3 linked regions of the Schizosaccharomyces pombe genome follow. The protein of the gene in region 1 binds, or shares a complex with, the protein of each later gene. Each region holds a gene or a part of one and is shown in the gene's direction. Other genes may lie near its edges.

Region 1 (3,543 bases):
CAACCTTTATTTCTTTATGAGGAAGTACAAGGCAATTTTGAACGCGTACTTCATCATGGACTATACAATCGGCGCCCATAACAGTAATAGCTTGGACTTTAACGCTGTTACGCATAATCGTAGTGGAGTGCTGGCTTGGAAGAGTTGGAGAACCTTCGACTCGAGACCATTTACCAATCTTGCAATGGCGGGAAAGAATGGAATGTAAAACAACAGCATTGGCAGAAATTTCGCAATCCTCTTGAATAATTGAGTTTCGAATACGTGCGCCATCCTCGATGCGAACACGAGCACCAATTGAAACATTGGGTCCAATCTTTGCACCTTTGCTAACAATAGCATTAGGATGAATAAAAACCGGCTGAATGATCTCAGCCTCAGTGTCGGGTTTTGGAAGAGTACCATCATGATATGCCTTTTGTAAATACAAGGAATTAGCAGGAACAGCAGAGCCAGCGGTTTTTATTTGACGCCAGAACTCAGGAGTATTATAAGCATAAATGGCTTTAGAGGAATCTGAGCACAATGGAGCAAGCACATCGGTCTCCAAACTGAGGTAGTCTTCCATTCCTTCATCCAAGGACCTGAGTTGCTTCTCGACCTCCTCAAGTCTACGCTCGTACGCTTTTTTGATTTCATCGAATATAGAGGCATCAAAGATATAAATACCACATGAAATAATATTTGAAAGATAGGAGCTTGGCTTATCAACATAATGAAGTACACGCCCAGTACTTGGTTCCTCTACAAGGCAACCGAAGTTAGAAGCATCTTCTTTACTAACCTTAGTAGCCATTAAAGTAACTAAAGCTTTCTTCTCGTGATGAACGTTTAACAATTCTTGTAAGGGAAAACTGCAACACACATCCGCATGCATAACAAAAACATTAGAAGTATGTCCTTTAAGGATTTGATCACGGAAATGGTATAAGCCGCCACCAGTTCCTAAGCAGTTGTATTCACGGAGATACTTGATACGATTGAAACTGGGGAAATGCGAAGCTACTTCGTTGATAAAATCTTTGAAAACGCTTTCATCGTAGAAACCAACCAAAAAGACATCTTTAACACTTTCAATCTTGGATAAAGCCGCCAAATGATGGTAAATCATTTCTCGTCCTCCAATTTTAAACAAAGGCTAATTTAGTTAGCAAAATAGCTCTTATGTTTCAAATGCAACTAGAAAGTAAAACTGGATTACGTATTTTACCAACATATAAATTCTAAATAAGACGTACTTTAGGGACATCAAACGAAAGAGGGCGGAATCGGGTACCACTGCAAAGTAATTAGTTACTGATATTCACGCGTTTAATAGACTTATTTTTCGTTGGTACGTACCGAGATGGACCCCCGACCAGAATGACAGCAGAGGAAATCATAATAGCAATTTAATACTAAAAAATCAATAATGAGTATCAAAATCACCAAAAACGAAAGAGATATACGCCTCTTGAAACTTGGTGTGTGGTTCTGTGCAAGTCCTGTCCAGCTCTCCTTTGTTTAATAAGGAAGGTAGCGCTATGAGCTAACTTCTGCCAGTTCATATTTGCACTTAATAGCCTGGCTGCAGAAGATAATACTCTATGTAACAATGAAATACTAATGTAAATCAATTTAGTTCAAAAACCCATGATCTAAAAATTGTGCTGCAGGCTGAGGCACTTTGCCAGCCGTGAGGAACTTAATGCTCATCATCAGCTGTTTTGCAGAAAATAGTAAAGCACCTTCTAGCTTTGGTACAAATTATAATGCATTAAAACTTAAATAAATAAAATTTACTAATTGAATTTTCGAGTAAAAGTAGCCTTTTTAAAAATTTGTTCTCTTTAATCACCTTTATGAATTTACCATCAACTTCACGCACTACGCTGGAAGATTGGACTCTCGTGACAAAGACTTAATTGCTCATGAAGGGGAAATTTAGGTTCTCTTTAAAGCGCGGTGTATGTTATATATGAAATTATTGATTTTTTCGCTTTTATTAATACATATCTAGCTTTTGCGTCCGTCGTGGAACAAATACAATATATACAACATTGCAAGAAAACAACTACCTGCTCTGAATAATAGAACTTTATATCAAAAAAAATGGAATGCGAAGAAGGAAACAAGGTCTTATCATGGTCCTCAATTACGCGAATATCAACTGAAAAATGCCTTCCGCCCAAAATTGGAGGGGGTTATTTCTTCCTTAGATAATAAGCTTCCCATCCCTTTTATGAATCAGACTTATGCATTTTTGGAATCCCGTTTAGACATGTCTATTCATCGAGCGTTATTTGCGTCTAGCGCTTTACAGGCTCGCCAACTGGTGCTTCATGGAAAAGTGCACGTAAACGGAAAACCTGAACGCCGTGCCTATCGTCAACTCTTACCTGGTGATTTAGTAACTGTTGATCAAAAATCAGTAATGAATTGTGTTTCTGCCTCTAGTAACAATACCCCTTCTATACAGGATGGGAAGCAAACTGAACAGGTGTCCTCTAAGGATGGAGAAAATGAAAAAAAAAAGGATAATGATGATGATTTATTTGAACAGACTTCTAATGGAAAGTTGCCCTCTATCAATGAAACAATTTCCAACTTTGTTCCTAAACCGTTTATGTCACTAATGGCATTTATCCCTGCTTATTTAGAAGTTTGCTTCCGCACTTGTTCCTTTGTTTATGTGCGTGATCCAGTTGCTCGTCCTGGCTTAACGGAAGTTCCTTCTCCATTTCCTGAAGACTTGCACGCTTTAGCCTATACATACTATATCAGAAGTCGTAATATGCGGCAAGGAGCAGCTAGATGTCAGGCCAGACGGCTTATTCCGCAGAAAGTACGCGATGCATCATTTTATCAAGGACCTCCTGAATTATATAAAAAACGAAATGTTTCTCCCAAAGAAGCATTCTCTCATCGGTATCCAGTTCGTCAAGGAAAGTTGACGAAACTCGTATAAATCGAATAAATGAACTCCTCTCAAAAGTTTAGTAATAAAATATAAAACATTCTCAATTATGCTTTTTGTAATACTATGTTGATTTCCACTTTTGTTTTCCTGCTCTATGAAGTAACTGCCCTGTCTACTGCTATCCACGTAACCAAATCTTATACACATACAAGAACTGGCACATCTTTTTTCATGTACCAAAAGGAGGCCTTTTATCGTGGACGTAGCTCAACAAGACAATTTAACAATACCCGATCTCCATCTGGACGTTCAGCGTCGCGTTCTTCCAATTTCTCACATCGGTCTAGTAGTCGTGATTCTTTTTCCTCGAATAGATCTTACTCGAGTTCGCTTTCCAGATCTCCAGAAGAACCATTGCGAACAGTACGTTTTCCATGTATAATTAGTTATTTAAGGCATACTAATCGTTTCTAATACGATGCAAAATAGATTCTTGTGGAAAATTTGACGCGTAATGTCACTAAAGAACATATAGCAGAAATATTTGGGATTTATGGACTAATTGATCATATTTTCATGCCAATTTATAAAAAATGTGAGTGAGCTTTTATTTTTTATGAATTACACCCACTAACTTTGCAGCT
Region 2 (3,338 bases), on another chromosome or scaffold:
TGGATCCCTCTGATGATATAATGGATAAGTATTTAAAAGATAATGAAGGTAATTTCTCCAACCTAGATGAATTCCATTTCTAACATTTTCAAGAGGTAACCAAAGTATCGGATGAACCTATTGCATCGCACCTCTTTGATTTAGAAGGAAATGATCAAAATGCAAATGTAATAGCAGAACTTAGACCTGATATCACTATGCGAATTGACAAAGAAGCTCTACCGTTTATGAAAAACATCAATCAGCTTTCGGAAAGACTTTTGGAAAAAAGTTTGGGGTATGTATATTCGGTTTTATTAATTGTTATTGCTTCGGTATGCCTAACAACTTGTAGAAACTCTAAACGATTTAACAACGAAAATGAAGAAACATACTTAAAAGAATCTGGTTTTCACGATTTAGAAGAAGAAGCCAGTGACTCTAAAGTTGTCTTAAAAATCAAAGGTCAAGATCAGTTATTGGAAAATAATTTTGTCCCCTCAAAAAATCAAGTTGGTTTAGAGCCTTTGCCTTCATTGGAAGCTCTTCAACATTTATACCAGGAAGATTCGATAAGCTTAAATCACATTGAACATGATTCTGACTCTTTGGCTGAAGCCGCTATGCAGCTTACTCAGAGTATGCGCGAAAAGCATGAGTTTGAGACCCACGGCACTGCATCAAATTTACCTATTGACATAAAAAATGAAATTGTTTTGTGCCATACCGTTACGATAGAATTTTTGCATCAATTTTGGAATGCCTTGTTGAATACAACTTTCCCGGACAAGAAGGCGATGGCCCCCCTTCAGAATGCTCTGTTAAATTCGAAAAAAAGGGTGGAGGCAATTGCGAGCCAGGCTCAGGAACAAAACGTTGATCCAAAACTGGTTTATGAGGTAAGTTTTTTTTGTAGAGATTTTGATTATTAACTAGGATTAGTTGGTATCCTGTACGCTCACTTCTATTGATACGTCAATCTCGGAGTATCAAAGACGAATGTCTTATCCTCCTGCTTAGGTTTGATAATGTCTTTGGAAACTCAATTGTGCTTGTAAAAGGTAATTGTTTCTGTTTTTCCATATAGAGGTTAATGATATATTGATATATTCTTTATTGGACTTAATGTTCTTTCTTCATAAAGGCTGGAAAAAATGAACATTGAAATGCTGGATATGGCTCTTTTTCTGTTTATACAACTCTTGAATTAAAAAACTTTTGTTTTGGTTTATAGATTCAAAAGACAATCAAAACTGTTTTTAGATTACTGTGCTCATAGGCCAAAATCTAATGTTTTTATGTCTTTATAGATTTTATTATTTATTAAAATTCGTTTTATGACACGAATATAGTATGTTATAAACTGATGTTCAATTAATTAATGTCCCATAATTTCTCTCTTTTGTTTTAAATGCTTGTTTTTACAATTTTTCAATTTATCGCTTCTCTGTATATTATATATAACTTTTTTTTTTACTTTCTTTCAAGGTATCAGTTCTGTATGATCCCAATAAAACTGTGTCTAGCTCAAGTATTAAATTTGGATACACAATTAATGATGAATATTTTAACATCGATTACCTAATTTATCTTATTTCAAGTTAATAAATAAATAGCCAAACGACTTTGAAATGTAGCACGCTAGCGCCTAGTTCCCTTCCCTTTTCTTTCATTTATCCATAGTGTATATGTACTAAGCTTAAACATCTACGCACACCTTAGCTTTCCTACATGCTTTGATTAATAAGAGTAATTGTTTTAAAAATTTCATTCAAGAAGAAAGAACAAACAATAAAGGGCCATGCTACGACTCATAAAGCAACCTTTGTTTCGATGTGCGAGTTCGGGACATTTGATGAAAGAGTCGCTTGTTTTTATCCATCAGACTCGTACTTTTCAAGTTGGAAAATTTACCTCAAATGAAAAATATAATGAAAAAATTGAAGATATCAATGAACGTTCAAATCCACAATGGGATAATGCGGGACTCGAAAATTTACTGAATCAACTTCAAGATTCTGTCGAACAGTCTGCCTCCGACGATTTTATGGGTGAATTAGAGAAAAAAATTGAAGTTGAAAATGAAGAACCGCCGCTAATGGGTACAAATCTGTGGCCTTCTCCGTCAAGTTCAATTGTAGGGTTAATAGATCGACCATTTCAGGTCGACTCTACAGTACAGCATTTGGTGAATTTAATAATGCGAGATGGGAAAAAAGCTAAAGCTGAAAAGATTGTTGCAACAGCGCTCTCTATCATACAAAAAGAAACCGGTGAAAATCCTATAGATGTTTTGAAACAAGCAATCGCTGAGATTTCTCCCTTAATGAAGTTGGTACGTCGAAATTATTGAAAATTTTGGAATTTTTTGTGAATTATTTCTTTTTATAGTGTGTAGACGGATTTGCTAATATTTTGATAGGTTTCTGCAAAGCGATTTAACAAAAGTGTCGAATTTCCTATGCCATTGAAAGAGCGACAGCGAAGAAGGATTGCGTTACAATGGATCCTCGGTGAATGTAAATCATCAAGTCCTAAAAGATTATCAGATCGTATTGTTAAAGAAATCATTGCTATCAGGAGCAAGACAAGCAATTGTTTCAAAAAGAAAGATCATCTGCACAGAATGTGCCTTGTTAACAGAGGTAATGCACCCGTTCGTATATAAAAACAAAAATTCCGTACATTTTTATCTTTTTTATGAATTGCATTCCCTTTTAGTAATGTTATTTTTGTCTAGTATATCGAGAATTGATTACTCTTAGTTATCAACTCAATTATACTACGTAGTGCGCAGTTAATCATATTCATGTTTATGAGGTTATAGTTTGGTTGTAAAATAACTTTCATAATATTCATCAACATTCTTCTACAGCTCCTTTTCAGTTAACGGAAATGCTACAGAATTTATCTTCTATGAAGTATATTGTTGTTTTTTCAAAACAAAGAAGGGAAAGTAAATTAGTTCATCGACTAAACTGTTAATTTCCTCTATATAAATTAAATTGACAATGTACAGCTAGCACAATGCTAGTTTAGAAATAAACAACAACGTGCAAAGACACAGTATCCATTCCTTTATTATGGACAGGATCCATAAGTTCAAACGTGCACGTTTCAAATGCCATTAAAACGTCTTCATCGGATGTGATGGTTATAAAATCGCCATCCTCATCAACATACTTCAGTCTAACCCGAAAAGGAACAGCTTGTTTCAAAATCCCACAAAGCTTTATTTTATGTTCTACCTTGGCTAACAGCTCATCAAATGTTATATCATGAGCAACAACCAGGACGAGACTAACCTCATGTAAACGGAGACGAATTTTAACATTCGTGGTATTTCGAACTGATAGGGA
Region 3 (4,336 bases), 1.7 Mb from region 1:
ATTAAGTATTTGCTTAAAATATCGAACGTAAACAATACTTAGAAAATTAATGATATACACCATAAAATCGACGAAGTAGCCAACCGAGAAACAAATGATAATATTGGTAAGCTTTTTTTTGGATTAATGAGTTTTTCTTTAATTTTTTTTCTATTTATTTGCATTTTTTAAATTTTTTTTATTATTACTACTAAAAGCATCAATCTCATATCAAAATTAATTATTATGTTAAATATTTAAATAAACAAGTCAGTATTAGAAAACTTATTATACACTCGGTTTAAAAATGATTAGAAATTGAAGTATGGCTTGCACATTTATTTATATAATCTACTAAAAATTTATGTTTACCACTCAAAAGGATATGTTTTGATTGAGTATATCATTCATAGAAAATGCAAAAACCAATTTTAGAACATAAACAATTATATTTTTAAAAATTCACAGCTATATTTGCATCAGCCGGGAGTCGAACCCGGAGCTAGAGCATGGGAAGCTCCAATGTTACCGCTACACCACTAATGCATTCAGATATTTAGACTGATGTTGCAATCTATATAGTAATTTAGAAAGGATTGTTATTGTTGAGTCTGATGAAATTCTGTTTGTTGAACATTTCAAAAATGTTGCATATCAGTTAGCCATGAGTTGGGCTCTTAATATGATGTTCCAGCCTTTTAAGACTGCATACAGAAAATAATAATTAACTACGATATGGTCGCATTTTAACTGTATGAAACTTTTTTTACAAGAGGTTATTAGAAAATTCAATTGGAGGAAATCCCACAGTGTATCAAAACAGTTGCTGTTAAAACTTACTTTACACTTAACTCGTAAACATTCAACATTTTAACGTTCGATTTTCGAGTAGCAGCTTCAAAAAAGTGCTCGTTAATTTTTAACACATAAAAATGTGTAAACAAAGCAGCCACATAACCGATGTCTTACATATTCCTTCTGTACCCGTTGATATCCCAATTGAAGAAGGGATTTTAGTTGTAGCAAACAAAAACAAACGATAATAACAAAATAAAAATGATATTATACCACTTAACCCATGAATAGCTAAATTATAGTAAATTTTTAAATTAAGAAAAATTTTTTTTAAGCAGGACCAATTAATGGCGACGAGAGCGCTTGATTTTTTTTGAGGTATTTCTCACTTGCTTGGAAGTAAGCTTCTTTTCCTTTTCTCCCTCTTCAACAAGCCATTGTGTCTCTAATTCCTTATTTTTACCCTTATAACCCCATTTTGGTACCCATTCACCAGATGCTTCATCAAACACCAACCTGCCTTCCCGCTTCTTAGGAGCAATACCTTTAATACGAGCAAACCGTTGCCATTTGGTTTCGGGCTTGGGTTTAGGTAAAGGTTTAGCACGAGGAAGAGGTGTAACAGTTTCAGGAAGCTGTAAAAGGACGCCATCTGATGTACGCTCCTTAGGCAAGGAAATCATTTTGTTCACCAATTGTTGAACGTTATCTCTACTGAGAGAAAAAAGGAATGATTCTTTCTCTGAACCGCTAAGCTTAGTTTCATCTAAGGGAGAAATATCAAATGCAGCCATATTTCCCAAATCGAAATCTAGAGGAATGGAGTTTTCTATTTGTGCAGACATGATTAACGAAATAGGGACAAGGAAAAAAAAAGGGTTGATAATACAATTAAGTGACAAAAAGTTCTCAAAAAAGACTGCAAAATTGATTTGTTAAAAAGTTGGTTCAGGATACGAAATTCTTCTTTCAAACTCCAAAATTTTTATCAAACTACTGAATATATAAGAGAAAAAGCTCTCTTTCAGTTCAGCAATCTACTGTTTTTACTTTCTTTATGACAAACGAAGAAAGTAAGAAAACTTTTACGATTCTTTAGTTTTTGCAAAAGTAGAGACACTTATTAGCAATACGTTAGTTCTCTTTATTACTGAACGCCAAATCTACCCTATTAAAAAATATTAGCAATGCGCTAAGAGCTCAGTAAATACTTACCATCCGGAAGCAGTCAGTCTCTTCATTTACGTGAGAACAGATATGTATACTTAAGATTTACGAGAAAAAAATACCTCTAACAAAATGCTACCGAAGTTTAGAAGCAGAAGTAGTATTATTAAGAATACAGAGAGAATTTCTAATATCCTGTCCGGTGGAAAACTGACTGTTTGCGGTAGTAAACTGGGAGGACTCTACACTTTTGAAAAATGCACATTTAACAAATACTATTCATCCTCACAATACCAGCATACGGGTAGACCTGTTGGAGGAAATATACATTCAAGCTCTAACCAGCAGCGTCAAAAAAATTCGGAAGCGCCAAGAATTAATGAAATTCCCCCCTCAACTTCGTCAGTAGAGAAATCGACGACTATTCCCAATAGTAGCGTTGTATTGGATCATCTCTTAAATGAAGGAGAAAATACTTTAGAAGAGGTGAAGCCCTCTGAAATTCATCCGCATATGTCTTGGTCCAGCAAGTCTGAAGGTAAGATGTTTAAAATCCCCGAGGAATTGCTTAATAAACTTAATGGATTTGGGGCTTTAGAAAAACAAAAAAAAAGTTTCTCCTTTTTTACCAGTGCTTCCCTTTTGCACAGGAAAATTACAACTGAATTAGTGAATGTACTGCAGCGCTCCAAAGACCAGGGTACGAAGGACGGACGTTTTCTTCTTGATGGTGCTCCAGGTTCAGGAAGAAGTATTGCTCTCATACAAGCTGAACTTTTCGCCTTATCACAACCTAATTTTATAGTCTTGCCAGTCCATAACTGCGAAGGATGGGTAAATTCAACGAGTAGTTATGGTTATGATGAGCAACTCAAGTTGTGGGTGCAACCAGATTTAATTAAGGGATTTCTAACTTCTGTTATGAAAACTAATTCTGATAAACTTAAGAAGCTAAAGACCTTTGAAAGTCATGAGTTGCTTCAGAACGAATGCATTCCTGCTGGTACCGATTTACTTTCCTTTCTTCATAAGCTAATTGCTTCCTCGAACGCTCCTAAATCTCTGGAAATATTTTTACAAGAACTCAATAACAATACCAAGTCAAATTCCAATATGAAGGTGTTATTAGTGATCGATAATATTTCTATTTTATCGGTCGTTACCAAGTATAAGGACAAAAAGAACAACTTCCTTCCCCCTAAAGACTTTTACTTTATTAATTTACTTTTCAAATATATTTCGGGTTCGCTTACTTTTAATCGTGGTACTGTTTTAGCTGCTACTTCTAGCCAACCGCGTGTTTCTACCCCGTCATTGGATATAGCTCTTGGAGTAGCTCACAGAAATCCTTACAAATCTTCTGATGAGACTATATTAGATTCATTACAGTCCGTGCATATTCTTAACATGGAGCCTTACACTTTAGATGAGTCACGTCGCATGATGGAGTATTTGGTATCATCCAACGTTTGCCTTGAAAAGGTTGATAATTATTTGCAAAATCATGTCCTTAGTGGTGGTAATCCGCGAAAGTTTTTTGATGCTTGCACACGTCTAGCATGATTGAGATATTCAAAAATTTCTATCCACTACAACTCCTTTAACGCGGTTTTATTTTTCTATTTTCTATTCTCATGTTGTTCCAAATATGTATCATCTCGTATTAGGCTTTTTTCCGTTTTACTCCTGGAATCGTACCTTTTTCACTATTCCCCCTAATGAATAATCTAAATTAGTTTCGCTTATAATTGATAGTAGTAGAAAGATTGGTGATTCTACTCGTGTAATGTTATTAGTTTAAAGATACTTTGCAAAACATTTATTAGCTATCATTATATAAAAAAAATCCTATAATTATAAATATTAATCAATATTTGCGGTCACTATTTATTTAAAACGTTATGATCAGTAGGACACTTTGCATATATATAGTTATGCTTAATGGTTACTTGTAACTTGCATGACCGAACACCATACCCCCAAAAGCAGGATTCTTCGCTTTCTAGAGAATCAATATGTATACCTATGTACCTTAAATGATTATGTACAACTTGTTTTGAGAGGGTCGCCGGCAAGCTCGTATAGCAATATATGCGAACGCTTGAGAAGCGATGTACAAACGTCCTTTTCTATTTTTCTTCATTCGACTGTAGTCGGCTTCGACAGTAAGCCAGATGAAGGTGTTCAATTTTCTTCTCCAAAATGCTCACAGTCAGAGGTATATATATTTTTGTTTTGATTTTTTTCTATTCGGGATAGCTAATATATGGGCAGCTAATAGCGAATGTTGTAAAACAGATGTTCGATGAAAGTTTTGAGCGTCGAAGGAATCTACTGATGAAAGGGTTTTCCATGGTAAGGTATTCTAATTGTGAAATATTTACCTGCAATTACT

What was found. The genes of interacting proteins can lie anywhere in the genome.
Region 2: nam9 (region 1) and rsm7 share a complex: the UniProt entries of both Schizosaccharomyces pombe proteins name them as parts of the mitochondrial small ribosomal subunit.
Region 3: nam9 (region 1) and rsm23 share a complex: the UniProt entries of both Schizosaccharomyces pombe proteins name them as parts of the mitochondrial small ribosomal subunit.

What each region holds. Positions count from the first base shown.
Region 1 is NC_003423.3:3,727,656-3,731,198, reverse strand, and holds nam9 (mitochondrial 37S ribosomal protein uS4m), read left to right. Parts: upstream 1-1,849; 5' UTR 1,850-1,910; coding exon 1,911-1,946; intron 1,947-1,999; coding exon 2,000-2,947; 3' UTR 2,948-3,004; downstream 3,005-3,543. Other genes in the region: mpg2 (mannose-1-phosphate guanyltransferase), read right to left, coding at 1-1,138, 1,239-1,278, 1,342-1,382; rns1 (putative RNA-binding protein), read left to right, coding at 3,131-3,322, 3,389-3,494, 3,542-3,543. UniProt on the Schizosaccharomyces pombe protein: Component of the mitochondrial ribosome (mitoribosome), a dedicated translation machinery responsible for the synthesis of mitochondrial genome-encoded proteins, including at least some of the essential transmembrane subunits of the mitochondrial respiratory chain.
Region 2 is NC_003424.3:3,518,203-3,521,540, reverse strand, and holds rsm7 (mitochondrial 37S ribosomal protein uS7m), read left to right. Parts: upstream 1-1,699; 5' UTR 1,700-1,780; coding exon 1,781-2,314; intron 2,315-2,401; coding exon 2,402-2,647; 3' UTR 2,648-2,827; downstream 2,828-3,338. Other genes in the region: transcription factor TFIIH complex subunit Tfb1, read left to right, coding at 1-48, 94-277, 335-878, 922-999; RhoGEF Scd1, read right to left, coding at 3,015-3,338. UniProt on the Schizosaccharomyces pombe protein: Component of the mitochondrial ribosome (mitoribosome), a dedicated translation machinery responsible for the synthesis of mitochondrial genome-encoded proteins, including at least some of the essential transmembrane subunits of the mitochondrial respiratory chain.
Region 3 is NC_003423.3:2,065,676-2,070,011, reverse strand, and holds rsm23 (mitochondrial 37S ribosomal protein mS29), read left to right. Parts: upstream 1-2,021; 5' UTR 2,022-2,073; coding exon 2,074-3,504; 3' UTR 3,505-3,825; downstream 3,826-4,336. Other genes in the region: ribosome biogenesis protein Rrs1, read right to left, coding at 1,119-1,619; telomerase reverse transcriptase 1 protein Trt1, read left to right, coding at 3,902-4,159, 4,216-4,296. UniProt on the Schizosaccharomyces pombe protein: Component of the mitochondrial ribosome (mitoribosome), a dedicated translation machinery responsible for the synthesis of mitochondrial genome-encoded proteins, including at least some of the essential transmembrane subunits of the mitochondrial respiratory chain.